Arabidopsis thaliana: one gene and its partners. The protein of the gene in region 3 interacts with the protein of the main gene of each other region in a biochemical or structural test. Each region holds a gene or a part of one and is shown on either strand. Other genes may lie near its edges.

Region 1 (7,044 bases), on a different chromosome or scaffold from region 3:
TAAAGAATAAATAAAATAATTAGAGGGTCCAGTTATATGATGAAGTGTGGTATTTCTTAACTTCTTTGCAAATTTTAATTATCTATTGTTTACTTCTATAATAAACTACTCATGCTGACTCGGTCTAGTCATTATTTCATTGTTTCGTACAGAAATTCACTAGTAATTTTGTATGTTATATTTTTAATTTTATAAACGAATATAGAATGTTTTATTTCTCTTTAACATTTCTAAAAGTCATGGATCATTCAAATCCGTATATATTAGTATTAAGCAACTAATTCGTTTTAATTTATAGATCCTCAAGTATAGATACATATAAGGCTGCATTATTTTCCTTGTGTGGACGATGACTTGACATCTCAATTAATTGTTATGGGAAGATAGGTATTTTTGAATATGAAACATTATCCAGGACACTTTTGATAAATCTTTTCTTCGACTTTTCCGACCTCCCGGCAAATAATTTGTCATGTATGTACGCTCGATACTATGAAATAAAAGATGAATTTATTTCAATCATTGATATGAGATAGATGGGGGGAAAATAATAAACTAAATACATACAATAGAGTATTTTTGAAATAAATTCATATTACCAACTAACATCTTAAAGATGTTGCATTATTCTTTGGTCAAATATTGGTCTACTTGATGATTCCGTATGGCGTAAGATCAGTGCCGCGTAATTTGATTAACTAAGATTGTTTTAAATTTCTGTAAGAGATTACAATTAAACTAAACTTTTTATATGGGGTTGAGTCGTTGACTATATGTGCCTGACCATCCATTATTCGACAACAACGTATTCACTTCATTTGGATGATACTCAGTCAATTAAGCAACATATTGGCTCCGTTTTTATCCAATTTGATTAAGTAAAAAAAAAAAATGTTTCAGATAGTGTAAGAAGCTACGAAGAATTTATGGGTATGACTGAAAGTTGAAACTTTCTAAAGCCATCACAATTGTATACTTTACAAAATATTAAGATACATTGCTGTCAAATTTTATAGTTTTTTCTCGTTTGGAAAATATCAAAATATATACCTAAAACCATAAACTATATGCTGTCTTTGTTAGTCAACATTATTAATTTGAAAGATATTAAAATATCTCATTCATAAATACAAATATATAATTTTAAATATCTTTTCATATTATTTATTAAATAAATTTGATTTTCTTTTTATTTAATATATTTTTTCGTAAACCAAATTTTTTTCTTACATCATTTTTTCATAAAAATTTGCTTTTGACGTAACATATTTTCTGCTCGCATAGCGCAGAAAATTACCCAATTATTTTTAAAATATCTCATTCATAAATACAATAGTATTTTAACTATCGACATTATTATGCTAACAATAACAAACAGAAGACATTACTAAAAATCAACTCTATATTACCAATAGTGTGCCTAACGATATTACCATGTGTTTGCTCAAAACAAAAAGCTCACGGTTTTCCTTACTCTCTTTTTCCAATTATTTCCTAATCTTATGGATAAACTCTTTTGAAAATTCATCTAAATTCATTTTTCTTTTTAAAATATGTAAAATGCGAACAAAGATTACAATTCCGTATGGATACATTGTACCTCTCAAAAGAATCTGAATATTTTTAGTTGGTATATCCACTATCCCATGCATTAGATGACACTAGCTGATAATAAATGTGTATGTCAAAAAATGCATAGTAATTAGTAAAGATACTCTTGACTCAAATAAACTTTTGATTTCATAAAATCTTAACATATTAATGGGATAGTTACAACTGTAGATGATGATATAACAGAGATAAACACGGAAGTGTCAAAATCATAGGTTTAAAAAAATAAAATAAAAAGTGTCGAAATCGTCGGACTCAAAAATGTATTTAAATACAGTTAAGAAAAAACCTCTTTAGCCACATCAATCATTCTCATCCTTTCTTGTCTTCTCTGATATTTTTTTTTCTCCACCATTATTGTTTCTTCTCTCTCTCTATTAAACCCTCAAAATTAAAAAATAAAGAGACAAGTTCAATTTTTCTTCCTTCTTCTCTTTTTTTTTTCTTCTCAATTTTAATTTTATTTTGGTTGGTAGAGATTCTCTCTTTTGCTCTTCGTGCTTTGTATCGTGATCATCGTCGGTGTTGGTAACTGCACATTTCAGGTATTTACTCTTACCTCCTCACTTTCGCAACAAATTTTGATTTCTGGGTTTTTCATGTTTTTCTTCTTCAATTGATTGGGTTTTCTACTGAAAATTTTCAACTTTTTTTCTGGGTTTTTGTCTAAAGTCTAAAACCCCTTCTTAAAGGGTTTCTTCTCTTTTGTTATGTCGGCGATTTCGATCAATAGTGTCTCTGAAAGTTTTCAGCTTTTTGATGATCGGAGATTATAAGAAGTAAATTGGGTTAGTTTCTTTTTACCTAGTAACCTAGTTCTGTGTTGGTTTGATCTTCTTAATGAGTTTAATCATGTTATTTGTTCAACGATCTTCTTAATTTTGATGTTAATTGAGTTAAAGCTTCATCATTTGACTATTGTGTTAGTCAAATGCTCAACTTTTAGACTTTCGAAAAAAAAAGATTACTTTCACGACTTTTGTTTGATCAAAACTTGTGGTTTTGTATTGATCAAGCTTTTTTGTTGGTTTTAGGTTATGGTTTCTTGCTTGCATGTTAATTTTTCAGCACATGACTTGAGATTTCAAATGTGTTGTCTACTCTTGTATCTCGATTCTCAAAGTTTATCTGACCTGTGAAGATTTTACATGTGATTATTATAAATGTGAGCTAATGCGTTTATTCTCTTTTAATTTTGCAAAGCAGATCAAAAGAAAGAAGTTGCTAGAATGGATATTCCACATGAAGCAGAAGCTGGAGCTTGGGGGATTCTCCCTGGTTTTGGTCGTCACCATCATCCCTCCAGTGATGCTACTTTGTTCTCCAGTTCTTTACCTGTTTTCCCCCGTGGAAAACGTATTAACCGAATCCCTTACTCGTTTATATATGGCTTTCTTCTCTCTTTTGCTGACAAGTTTTACTTCTTTTGCAGTGCAATTGAGTGATAACAGAGATGGTTTCTCACTGATAGACGATACGGCTGTTTCTCGCACAAACAAGTTTAACGAAAGTGCTGATGACTTTGAATCTCATTCCATTGGAAACCTGCTCCCTGATGAAGAGGATCTTTTGACAGGGATGATGGATGATCTTGACCTGGGGGAGTTACCAGATGCTGATGATTATGATCTTTTTGGTAGTGGAGGAGGAATGGAACTTGACGCTGATTTTCGAGACAACTTGAGTATGAGTGGTCCTCCAAGGCTATCACTTTCAAGTCTTGGTGGAAATGCAATTCCGCAATTCAATATTCCAAATGGTGCAGGAACAGTTGCTGGTGAGCATCCTTATGGTGAACATCCCTCGAGAACATTGTTTGTCCGGAATATTAACAGCAATGTAGAAGACTCTGAACTCACAGCTCTCTTTGAGGTAACTTCAACAAAACTTGACCTGACACTGTTGGATTTTTTATAACAAACTTACTCTACAGACACTGATGGGTTAACTTTTTTGTGATATGTGGCAGCAATACGGTGATATTAGAACGCTCTATACCACTTGTAAGCATAGGGGATTTGTCATGATATCTTATTATGACATTCGTTCTGCTCGAATGGCTATGAGGTCTTTACAGAATAAGCCATTAAGACGTAGAAAATTGGACATTCACTTCTCAATTCCAAAGGTTTGCTGATAGCTCTTTGTTAACAATGTCATCGATTCTTAGTTGCACCCCTAGTTTGTTTATATTGAGCCTGTTTCCTGTGTAATTTGTAGGATAATCCATCTGAGAAAGATATGAATCAGGGGACATTAGTGGTGTTTAACCTGGATCCTTCAATTTCTAATGATGACTTACATGGAATTTTTGGTGCTCATGGCGAGATCAAAGAGGTGATAGATATCATTCTGTTTATTTGATAGCTTTGAACTGGTTTGGAAGAAAAACATCCATATTAAGTTCTGTTTTCCTCATGAAAAACAGATAAGAGAAACACCACATAAGAGGCATCACAAATTCGTCGAGTTTTATGATGTCCGCGGTGCTGAAGCAGCATTGAAGGCATTAAACAGGTGTGAGATTGCAGGAAAACGTATAAAGGTTGAACCTAGTCGCCCTGGAGGAGCTCGTCGAAGGTTTCTTTCTTTCTTAGATCTGCTACATGAATAATGAATGCCATTACATTTCTTACATCTGACCATTTATTTGATCTGCTAGCCTGATGTTGCAACTTAACCAAGATCTTGAGAACGATGATTTGCACTACCTACCGATGATTGGTTCACCCATGGCAAACTCTCCCCCAAGTGAGTCTATTTCTTGATGCTCTTCTTCAAACAAATTTGTTTATAATATCCTCAAAGACTGAAACTGTTTGATTTAGTGCAAGGTAACTGGCCGCTGAACAGTCCCGTGGAAGGTAGTCCGCTTCAAAGTGTACTTAGCAGGTCACCTGTTTTTGGCTTAAGTCCTACAAGGAACGGCCACTTGTCTGGTTTGGCTTCTGCTCTAAATTCACAAGGACCAAGCTCGAAGCTTGCACCCATTGGCAGGGGTCAAATTGGTAGCAACGGCTTCCAACAGTCATCACATTTATTCCAAGAGCCTAAGATGGATAATAAGTACACAGGAAATCTCTCTCCTTCAGGTCCTTTGATCTCAAATGGAGGTGGAATTGAGACGTTGTCGGGTTCAGAGTTTCTCTGGGGAAGTCCTAACGCACGCTCTGAACCTTCAAGTTCCTCGGTTTGGTCAACATCATCCACTGGGAATCCACTCTTCTCAACTCGAGTAGACCGATCTGTTCCATTTCCACATCAGCATCAAAATCAAAGTCGTAGCCATCATCACTTCCATGTTGGGTCTGCACCATCTGGTGTTCCTCTAGAAAAGCATTTTGGATTCGTCCCAGAGTCTTCAAAGGACGCTTTGTTCATGAACACTGTTGGTCTTCAAGGAATGAGTGGAATGGGTCTCAACGGTGGAAGTTTCTCTTCCAAAATGGCAAATAATGGGATCATTAACTCTGGAAGCATGGCCGAAAACGGTTTTTCAAGTTACAGAATGATGTCTTCACCGAGATTCAGCCCCATGTTCTTAAGCAGCGGTCTAAACCCAGGGCGGTTCGCCTCTGGCTTTGACAGTTTGTATGAAAATGGTAGGCCTCGTAGAGTTGAGAACAATTCGAACCAGGTTGAGAGCAGGAAACAGTTTCAACTTGATTTGGAGAAAATTCTTAATGGAGAGGATTCTCGGACTACCTTGATGATTAAAAACATTCCAAACAAGTAAGCTTTTCCTTTCTTTATCTTTACTTCTCTTGAAATATACTTGGAATATGATGCAGCCAGATTACTGAATGAGTTTCTTTTATATCAACAGATACACCTCGAAGATGTTGTTAGCTGCAATCGATGAAAAGAACCAAGGAACTTACAACTTTCTCTATTTGCCCATTGATTTCAAGGTAAAAATTGATTAGAGATTCAAAGTTCCAAAATCACTAACTGATACAACGAGCGGTTAATAAATCTTTGGTTTTGCAGAACAAATGCAATGTGGGCTATGCATTCATCAACATGCTCAATCCAGAACTCATCATTCCATTTTATGAGGTTTCCTTCCCTCTCCGCTTTCTTTCTTATACTTTTAGCTAAGATCACTCGAAAGGTGAACTAACAAACATCCAATATTTGCAGGCTTTTAATGGGAAGAAGTGGGAGAAGTTCAACAGTGAGAAAGTAGCTTCATTGGCATATGCTCGGATACAAGGAAAATCTGCCCTTATAGCCCATTTTCAGAACTCAAGCTTGATGAATGAAGATATGCGTTGTCGTCCAATTATCTTCGACACTCCCAACAATCCAGAGTCTGTTGAACAGGTAAAGTTACTCTTTGGTCTGAAAGTTAATGCTAAACCTTATGGAAGTTAATACTGCATAATATAGTTAGCGATGATCTTTAGACTTATTACTCGGATTAAGTAGCTATGGTATTCTTGTTCTTCATAGGTTGTTGATGAGGAATCTAAGAATATGGACCTCCTCGACTCTCAGCTCAGTGATGATGATGGCAGAGAGAGAAGCTGACACAGGAGTTGAGAGACGACTCAATGTTGTGATAATGGCTGTTTTTTTTCTTTCTAAGTACTAATTTTTAACCGTACATATTGGTGAAAGGCAGAGTTAACTGATGCATGCAGGACCCTGCGGAAGTGTGTTTTCGAATTGCAGGTTTTAAATGCTGCATGCAGAAGCTGTGCGAGTATTTACTCTGTTTTTTTTTTTTTTTTTTCTTTCTTCATGTTTTTTGGTTCCATGGAGTATATGTAAAAAAAAAAACCATGAATACTCGGTTTTATGTGGGTATTATGTTGTAACTCTCACAACTCTTGTTAAAGCTTTTGGCAATTTGTACAGTAAGAAAAAAAGAATTGTCTCTCAAGTCTTTTTTGTCTTATTTTTTGGACAGAAGTCTGTCTTGCAAAAAAAAAAAAAAAACAGAGGCACAACATTTGAAAAGATGAAGATATACATCTGAAACTGAAATTAGTTATGTCGGTACCAATGAAATTTTGCGTTAAGCTTTACAATTATTTTATGATAAGACTTGCAATATATATAAATAAAAAAACTAGTGAAATTATCTATGATCGACATGAAATTTTGTCATGTTCCAATGAATTAGATATGGTAAAGCTGACGTGGTATCCTAAGTGGGGTGGATTTGAATTGGAGTTGATTCCAACGGTGGAGATTCAAAGATTCTTTGATTGATAGTGAGCGACTCTCGTTTTCCAATCACGTGTAACTCGGCTCCACTCTAAAGCACGAAATCAACACGTCCACGTAACGATCATATATTCATGCAGTGATATAGTCGTTTAACAGAAAGATCACTCCGTCAATCTTTCCACCACTGTGACTAAATCTAAACAATTTCATGGCGAGTCTCTGTCTCTCATCGTCCCGGATCGTTTCTCTTCACCA
Region 2 (5,254 bases), on a different chromosome or scaffold from region 3:
TGGTCATGGTTTGAATTGTTGTATTGTGTGGTTCAGTTCATTCTTACTAGTCTTGACAAATTTTGATACAAATTTCATATGAATACTTACTTTACTTTATGTAAAATATTCAGACGAAATTTCGTATAAATTTTGCAAGAGTAAGGCAGCGAGACAAACAAGTAGACTAAGAAAAACATAAAAAGCAAAGGAAAATTTCTTATAGCTAATTTCCACAATTAAGTAATCGTTTTCTCACCATAATCCGTGACTTGTTTGACCAAACGTAAGAAATCAATTAAACGATGACTAATTCAATAGTACTCTTATTGTTCTAGTCATGAAAAAGACTAACACGAATTTAATGTCACAATTGCAACTAATTTCCTTACTAAATTTCCTGGAAATTGCAACTGAACAAACAAGGTAGTGGCTTTCTTTTTCTTTTGGCGTTTTTCACAAACTTCTTCTATATTAATTTACTACTTATCTCTTAATATAGTATCAAAATGTTCTTTCATTGGTTGTTTTGGTCAATAGACGATAAATCTTCTGATATAGCTGACTTTGTCAATCCATTTAGTGTGGTTTCTTTAATATTTTTAATCCTAGATTATACAAATATCGAACCGTAGTTGGCAGCTTGCAATATCTTCTCTTCATGCATCTACCACATTGCTTTTGCTTATGTATGTTGTCAATAGACTCTCCATTCATGCATCAACCATGACCATTTGCTTGCAGTGAAGAAGCTGTGTTTGCGTTATTTTCGCAGTATTGGTGATCGCGGCTTGCTTTTTCGAGACTTGGTTCATGTCTTTGTTGGGTGATTTTTGGACTGGTTATAAGAATGACTACACATCTACTAAAGCAAACCTGATTTACCATGGTAAACACTTGACATCGCGGTCATCTAAGAAGTTGAAGACAGTGGTTCGCTCCTCCGCGGATGCCGAAAACAAGCTTGTTGCTGCCACTACTACTGAAGTCCAATAAGTTAGATCACTCTCAAGATTCTGAGAATCATACATCATGTGGATAACTATAAACGTTCCTTTAAACTTGTTTGAATTTGTCTGTGAACATACAATGTCATGATAGGGAAAATAAGTTATTCATGCAAGATACATTTATTTAACTACAGTTTTGAGGTTTTTTCATTTATGATACAACAAACTTTCACTCTGCAATCCAAAAACTACTTATCCCTCACTATGTCAACCATTATATATATATACACAAACATGTGTGTGTATATATAGCTATATGTACAAAAGGACTCACCTGCTTTCTTGGAACACAAGACTGAACCCAAAAACAATCAAATCAGCTGCTTAGATTCTTCTTCTTTCTATGAGCTCTCATGGAAGTTTGCTGACCTAGAAAGAGCAGCAGGATTCGCTTGCAACTCCGGTCTTCTTCCCGGAAGTCTTCCTTCAGAAAGACTGCTTTTTTCTTTGGTTGATGATCTGAAAGCTCCGAAAGTATCCGCATTTTCGTCTTTTTTGATCCCTAATGTTTCCCAGATGGAACTTTTAGCAGCTTCCTCTGGATCATCAATCCTCAGCGTCTTGGGAACCCACAAGCATCTCTCGGGTTTGCTTTTCTCCCTACCAAGTGACTCGGTTTCATCAAAAGCGGTTCCTGGTTCAGCAGCGTTCTCGTCACGTGAATGTTTACCTAGTGTAGGAGAATTTGGATTGGAACCAGATGGTGAATTGGGTTGTGGCATCCATGTGAAGCTGTTCCATGCCCCCGGTGAAACCCCCGGGCAGCTCCAGTAAGCCGGTGGAGGGTAAAACGGTAAAATCGTCCACGAAACTCCGTTCCAAGCGTAAGGCCAAGTTGGTGGTGGTCCTGGAAAGCATGGAACTTTTGGTAACGGGCTGACTGTTCCAGCTTCTTCGTTTGTCTGGTTTAACGGAACCGTAATCTTCAAGCCTTCATTGGGTTCTTGCAATACAGTTTGTGTCTTCAACAATGACTTCTCAACAAGATTCAATCCAGAAGCCATAGATTCACAAAGCACAGAATCAGAGCCAAAAGTGAGAAGATTTGCACCATTAGGATGTTGAAGATCAGTTCTCGCCACCTTCTGCATAGCTTCCGCAGATGTTATACTTACATGACGGTTATAATGAGAAGCTGGACTCTTATTCTTACGTCTCCCAGCACCAACCGGAACATTCCTCATCGTTCCACCAGCTGTCCAATATCTCTGACATTTCTTGCAGAAATGGCGAGGTTGGTTAACATTATAGTTGTTGTAGTAACAGAACTTGGTTTCCATGCTGTTACATCGCGGACACGGTAGAATCTTATCAGGTTTCTTTAACTTCCCCTCTTGAGAGCAAGCAGTACCACCTGACTCTTCATTCGTCTTTGCAGCTTTTGTTGTTTCCGTTTTTTCAGTTATACCCGATGTAGTAGTAGTAACATCATTAGATTCATTCCTCAATGACTCTTCCTGACACTCACTATCTTTTTCTTCCTGAAGAATAACATAAGAACCAGAGTCAGATCGTTGTTATGTATCCTAATCAAACAAACAACAAACAGAAGCTAGAAGCTACAGGGATCAAAGACTTGATTCCAATCACAGAGAAGCTAAAACCCTGAAAAGTTCTTAAGCAAATCAATATCAAAACCTATAACCATCAATCAAAACCAAATGGAACTAATTAAGATCTCAAATCACTTTATAACAAAAGGAAAAAAAAAAACTCATTTGAGAATCCAGATTTACAATTTTCGAATCCCCAAAAGCTCTGAAAACCTAGTTCTTACATAAACAAACCAAAAATCATAACTTTATCAATAAAACTAAGATTTGACCAATCTAACATAAACCCATCAATCATTTCCATTTAACAAATCAAAATCAATTCACAAGTTCCAAAAAAAACTAACCTTTTTATCAGTCTCGCTCTCTCCTCCACCATCACCAACATCATCACCTTCTTCTCGTCCTAAACCGGAATCACCCATCTCTTCATCATCATCATCGCCGGTACACGAATCTGATAACCGAACAGGAATCTGAGTTTCGGTTAAAAATCCGGTATAGCTAGAAGAAGAATCAACAACACCAAGCTCAGGTAAAGGAATCGTCTTTCCAAAGAGCTTAATCGCCGGATCAGCCATGGTAATGATTCCTTTTCACTTCTTTCTTTCTTTCTTCTCCAGCGAGCAAAAAGCGGAAACTTTTTGAGAAGACAGAGGAAAAAAGTTCCAATTTTTATTTGTTTAAAAGAGAGAGAGAAACGACTGTCTTGTTATCGGTGGTTGTCTGAGTTTTGATTTCTAGATTTGTTAATTGGGAATGCTTTTTTGTCTTTGCGAGAGAGAAAGAAAAAAGATTTACAGATTTTGCTTTTTGGGTTTGTGATCTTTCGAATTGTACAACCTTTTGATTCGCCCAGAGTGCCACGTCATCACACGTGAGGATTCTTAGCCACAAGTTTATTTTTGTTTTTGTGGACTTTTTTTTTTCTCTTTTTCGTCTCTTTTTGGCTTTCTTTTTATTTTCCTTTTCAATCTGGTCAGTGGTCAGCACTTTTTTTTACTTTTACTTTTCTTTTCATTTTTAACTTTTTTATTTTAAAAGTCTGAATTTTTTTAAATTAATGTAAAAATGGTTGATTAAAGGCCATTTAACTTCTAATTTACATGTTTTCTAATTCTAACTATGTCAATAAATTTTTTGTTACCCACACATTTATTAAAAAATTACTGTTTATAAATGAAATTTCAGAAGAAAAAACAAACTTTAGAGTAACAAACAAAAAACATATTTAAAACCTTGAAACACTTTTTAATTCCTAGCTTTCTATAATAGCCATATCCATGGAAAACAATATCATGATTAGATTTGGAGAGAAAGAAAAAAAAAACATATTTATGAAAGAAACAAATTACATGATATAAACATTAATTTTCTCATTTTTAAAGAACTAAGAAGATCCAACAAAAAATTAAAATACTAAAAAAATATAGTATTTTATCCCCAAAAAAACCAATCTTTGTCTTCAAACAAATCCATTTTACAGATTGATACTCCTTGTGTTCTTTTTTCTTTGATTTTTTAGGAAAAACACAAATATTAAGAAAACATATTAAATGTTGCTTTTAAATGTATTATTCTTTGTAATTTATAATTTTCAATAACTCTAAACCAATGATATTCAATAATTCTTATTGAAGTTTACAATTTATCAATTATAACTAAATAAATATTGCATTGAAAACCAAAAAATCAATCTTTTTGAAACAATTTTTTTCTAGAAAATCAAAAAAAAAAAACAAAAGGAGTATGTGTTTTTTTACGCTGATAATAATAGTCATTTAGTTACAGTTTTAGCTTGGTACTTGTAGGAAAAATAAATTAACATTGAAATCACTTTCTTTTTTTTAAATGAAGCTACAAGTATTTACTATATAGTGGATCTTCAGTTTCTTTCCTCTTTTTTGCCTATATTCTTGTCATAAAATCTTCAACATATCAGAGATACGTGGCTGTAATAAGTCGATGTTAGAAGTTGTGGTTACTAATGAACGCCAAGTCGATTTGGAAAAAGTGCAATATTGTGGATAAGAAGTAATTGAACGCCAAGTCTAACATTGAAAAAGTGCAATTATGTGGATAAGTATATAGTACCTTTATTTCAGACCACCCCAAATCACAAATATATACTATATAATAAAGTTTTTTCATTACATTTATTATATTATCCCCACTTGGAGGCACGACTGATAAAGATTCTTAGGAAACATATTTTATCATTTTTCGACTGTTTCCCCGAACTAAAGAAACGTTATTTGAGTTTTGTTTTATTAAAATTAGCATTTTTCGTATAAAAACAAGTCTCGTTGATATATCACATGACTTGAACATTCTCGAATTAGAACTTGAATGAACTATATTGTAAAAAAAAAAAAAAAAAAGAACTTGAATGAACTATATTGTAAAAAAAAAAAAAAAAAGAACTTGAATGAACTATATTGTAAAAAAAAAAAAAAAAGAACTTGAATGAACTATATTGTAAAAGCTGGCTAAGTTCATTAAGTGACTCTTGGTGAAAACGGAGAATTTTTGCTTAATGAAAACATGGTGATCAAATTTCGAATATTACAATACAAGATTGATTCGAATAAATTTTCATATCGTTACTAGGAAAAACAAAACTCCATTTCATTATTGCTAATTGGGTAGACTTTTTATCTTCGTATTTATAGAAAATTTGTAGATCAAGTTATGTGTTTATGTAGATAATTT
Region 3 (3,787 bases):
CCAATCTCATTCTCATCTCCAACGGAAGGCCACCCTGTTTCCGTCACCATCACCTTAACGCCTTTAAATCCGACGGCGGACAATGCCGCGTAAACGGCGTCTATTTGAGCGTCAAAGAGACTGTTGTACTTCAATCCGGTACCGGAATCTATATTCCCGGCGTTTTCTTTAAACAGAGCGTAGTCTAAAGAGATTTTATCGGCGTTTGCTGCGTAAGCGAAAAACGGATAAGCATTTACCATAAGATACGACGACGTTTGTTGAAGCAGAGCAAGCATTGGTTTAACAACCGGTTCGATTAATTCCGGTTTAAAAGAACCAGAGGAAGGCGGGTACGAATTAGCAAGCGCGCTAAGAGCAATAGGAGACGAGATCTTGATGGCTTTGTCGAGTTTATACTTAACCAGAGAGGTGTGAATGTTCTTCATCGCATTGACAAGATACGGCGTGATCGTCGGATCGACGAATACTTCGTTACCGACGGCGATAGCTTCGATCTCCGTCGCTGGGAAGTATGGCATTATGTGGGTTTTAATCCAGTTGTCGGCGAATGATTGGTGGGAGGCGGCGGAGGAGAGAAGCTCGTTAGGGAGAGCGACGATTACTTTGATTTTGGAATTTGCAAGTGCGGTTAGTACATTCTTATCGGTGTCGAAGATTTTGATACGGTTGATTCCTTGAGATTTCAGGAGGTTCACTACTTTCTCCGGCGACGGGAGATTGTTAGCTATCCGACCATAATTGACTCCGACCATTCCAGAATCTGTGGAAACAAAAACAAAAAAAACGCAAAATAAGAACAACGTAGTAGACACGGCAAATACAGAGACAGACATAGGTATATGAAGAGATTAAAAACTAACGTGCGTCAATGGCTGAGAGGAAGGAAAGAATCAGAAAATAAGGTAAGAAAGAAACGGCCATGGTTATTCTCGAGTGTATCTTCAGAAACAGAGCATTAAACGCATAGATGAGTGTCGTTTGATAGTTATGGAGACGAAGGAAAGTTTTTGTTGCGTTTGGGACGGAGCTGGTCTACAGTATTTATACGATTTAGGTGTAAACAAGTGCCAAGTGGGGGTTGTGGGATAACTAATAACACGGAAGAATAGCTGAAATAATAGATTTAACTAAAACTGTATAATTTTAAAGCTCTATTTATAGCAAAAAGTTTTACTTTACCATAATCTTCAGTTAAAGGAACTCTCTATAATTTTGATGTTTTTCTAACATATGAATGTTTTCATAGTTGATTTTGGTTATAACAGAAACCTAACAAAAACCTTGACTTTTATTGTTTCTTAAACAAGAGTCAAGACCTAGGTTCTTTATATGTTGCATTGCGCATATTTCGTTAATTCATCATCATTTCTTTCTTTTGTGAAGAGTGTGTGACAGACTTTATCTCCTTCAACTAATCTTTTTGTTAATACACAAAGTGACATGATTTATAGATTTAACAATTTATTTATTTCTTCTATGTCAAATTGTCAAGTCTTCAACAGATGATGAAATCATGGAGAGTGGTGGATAGGAGGACTCACGTCACGTGAGATCAGGAACTGCAACCTAAAATATTTAACCAAATGAAATTGTCTAGTGGGTTAGATGTGGCCCAATAAAAATATAAGCCCATTATAACGAAACGACAGATTTGAACATAACTAGCAGCCGTTGGATTAAAAGAGAACCTAGAGAGAATATGAACCGTTGGATAGATGCCCTACGATTTATGATAGAGAGGAATCCGATGCGTCCAAGTACAAAAGCCACGGCCAATTAGAGAGATTTTCAGAGTCAGTCTTTTTATATTCATCTCTCAGCATCATTCTTTGATTGTGTGAATCTCTCATCGTTCTCTCAAATTTCGTGTTTTTGTAACCGGACGGAGAACCTTTCACGATGTCTGCAAACCAGGAGGAAGACAAGAAGCCAGGAGACGGAGGAGCTCACATCAATCTCAAAGTCAAGGGACAGGTATCTCTCTTTCTCCTTCTCATCCTTGTGTGTTCTTGTGAATGTTTGGGTTTCTGATTTCGTGTAGCTGCGATTAGGGTTTTTCATTCTCCAATTTGGTTTAATTTTAGGGTTTCGTACTACTAGCTCAGTCTTAATGGTCTTCTTCCTCTTTTGTTTTACAGGTTTAAAGTATCCTGCTTTATGTTTACACGTTTGCTTGTTTTTGCTAATTGTTTATCAAATTTCTGAAATTATATAAGTCTTGTTTAGGTGTAAGTTGTTATTGAGCTTTTGGTTCCTGTTGTTGTTTGAGGGTTTTATAGTTTTGGAAGGGATAAGTTTACTTAGTTGTTGAATGTTCTAAAGACTGTGAACGATGCTGTCTCTGTACTAAGTTGTTATATATCTTCTGATGAAGTTGTAGTCTCTGTACTAAGTTTTCAATTAGTTTGGCTGATGTTTGTGCTTCAAATTCTCATAGACGAAGCCTTAAACTGAATGTTTGTTGATATGTGTTTAATTTTTCGACTCTTTCAGGTTACTACCAAAAGAGAGCCATGTGATTTAGTTATTGTTTCATATGCGGTCTCTAACGTTTATTGTTCCTTCTATATGTTTGTTTTATAGGATGGAAACGAGGTTTTCTTTAGGATCAAGAGAAGCACTCAGCTCAAGAAGCTGATGAATGCTTACTGTGACCGGCAATCTGTGGACATGAACTCCATTGCTTTCTTGTTTGATGGGCGTCGTCTTCGTGCTGAGCAAACTCCCGATGAGGTATAACATTCATTCTACATGCTTTATTTCTTACCTTTTGAAGTTTATAGTTTCTGATACTAATAATTCTTGACACTACAGCTTGACATGGAGGATGGTGATGAGATCGATGCGATGCTCCATCAGACTGGTGGCAGCGGTGGTGGTGCTACGGCCTGACACTTCGTCCAGGTTTAGGGCTTGTGTGTGATATGAATGGTTAAGGAGTAATCGGCATTAGGATTTGCAGACTTGTTTTTTTATCGTGACCATTCTCTTTAGAAACTAAGTTATTATGGTCACGAAGGTTAAAGAACCCTTTGGTTGATTTTTTGTCTTGTTCGTTTGGTATCGGATCCTATGATACTACTATTTCGGCTTAAAGGTGTTATTAACCCAATTATCTAAAGTTTGTTGGTATGGTAACGGTAAAAAGCTATTAATTATTGAAAGTGTGACTCTTAACATATACGTAGCTCATTGAGCTAATGGCGAGCAAAGATAAAATCCATCTAGTCAACTAAACAAAATATTACTTAAACATGAACTAGCATCGAGTTAGTGAATTATAGTCTATAGAGGACGACTTCATAACCAGAGCTTGTGGTGGTTATAGACAAGACAATAATCAGTATTATTACTCTCTCTCGAGTCTCGAGCTGTAAAAACTAAGTGTCTGAATCTTAACATGGTTGTTGATGGTAGAAAGACTTGGTTACAAGTAATTAGTTGGCTGAACCTGAACCCCTTCTTAAGACATATCCTTTGAATAATCAAATCTATACAAATAATAATCATATTAGTGAAGAACATATATAATTCATAAACACCAACTCATAACAAAAAACAAAGAACCAGAAGTCTAGGCACAAAATGCCCACAACCATCATACATAAACCAAGAAGCTTCAAATGCAACTACAAAGAGAGTTTGCTTATTTAGGCTTTTAATTATACATACAAACCACCAAGTCACCATATTGTTCACTGAAGGACAAGGCACTCGGCGGCCGTCCCATTTGTGATCGGACCTCCATGGGTTCTGTTGCTTTTCTGGTTAACATTGCCACTAG

Evidence for each region.
Region 1: the proteins of SUMO1 (region 3) and ML5 form a complex in vitro, tested with the Arabidopsis thaliana proteins (one study listed by BioGRID).
Region 2: of the proteins of SUMO1 (region 3) and CDF2, one has a biochemical effect on the other in vitro, tested with the Arabidopsis thaliana proteins (one study listed by BioGRID).

What each region holds. Positions count from the first base shown.
Region 1 is NC_003070.9:10,289,493-10,296,536, reverse strand, and holds ML5 (MEI2-like protein 5), read left to right. Parts: upstream 1-1,906; 5' UTR 1,907-2,156; exon of another isoform or gene 2,157-2,399; intron 2,400-2,814; exon of another isoform or gene 2,815-2,817; 5' UTR 2,818-2,840; coding exon 2,841-2,967; intron 2,968-3,043; coding exon 3,044-3,483; intron 3,484-3,580; coding exon 3,581-3,739; intron 3,740-3,831; coding exon 3,832-3,948; intron 3,949-4,039; coding exon 4,040-4,191; intron 4,192-4,273; coding exon 4,274-4,362; intron 4,363-4,439; coding exon 4,440-5,343; intron 5,344-5,437; coding exon 5,438-5,522; intron 5,523-5,601; coding exon 5,602-5,670; intron 5,671-5,754; coding exon 5,755-5,937; intron 5,938-6,066; coding exon 6,067-6,144; 3' UTR 6,145-6,539; downstream 6,540-7,044. Other genes in the region: COR413IM1 (COLD REGULATED 314 INNER MEMBRANE 1), read left to right, coding at 6,998-7,044. UniProt on the Arabidopsis thaliana protein: Probable RNA-binding protein that plays a role in meiosis and vegetative growth.
Region 2 is NC_003076.8:15,876,789-15,882,042, reverse strand, and holds CDF2 (cycling DOF factor 2), read right to left. Parts: upstream 3,318-5,254; 5' UTR 3,124-3,317; coding exon 2,890-3,123; intron 2,471-2,889; coding exon 1,331-2,470; 3' UTR 1,264-1,330; exon of another isoform or gene 962-1,263; 3' UTR 506-961; downstream 1-505. UniProt on the Arabidopsis thaliana protein: Transcription factor that binds specifically to a 5'-AA[AG]G-3' consensus core sequence. Regulates a photoperiodic flowering response. Transcriptional repressor of 'CONSTANS' expression.
Region 3 is NC_003075.7:13,495,564-13,499,350, forward strand, and holds SUMO1 (small ubiquitin-like modifier 1), read left to right. Parts: upstream 1-1,723; 5' UTR 1,724-1,902; coding exon 1,903-1,977; intron 1,978-2,586; coding exon 2,587-2,736; intron 2,737-2,817; coding exon 2,818-2,895; 3' UTR 2,896-3,257; downstream 3,258-3,787. Other genes in the region: AT4G26830 (O-Glycosyl hydrolases family 17 protein), read right to left, coding at 1-836; VTC2 (GDP-L-galactose phosphorylase 1), read right to left, coding at 3,699-3,787. UniProt on the Arabidopsis thaliana protein: Ubiquitin-like protein which can be covalently attached to target lysines as a monomer. Does not seem to be involved in protein degradation and may function as an antagonist of ubiquitin in the degradation process.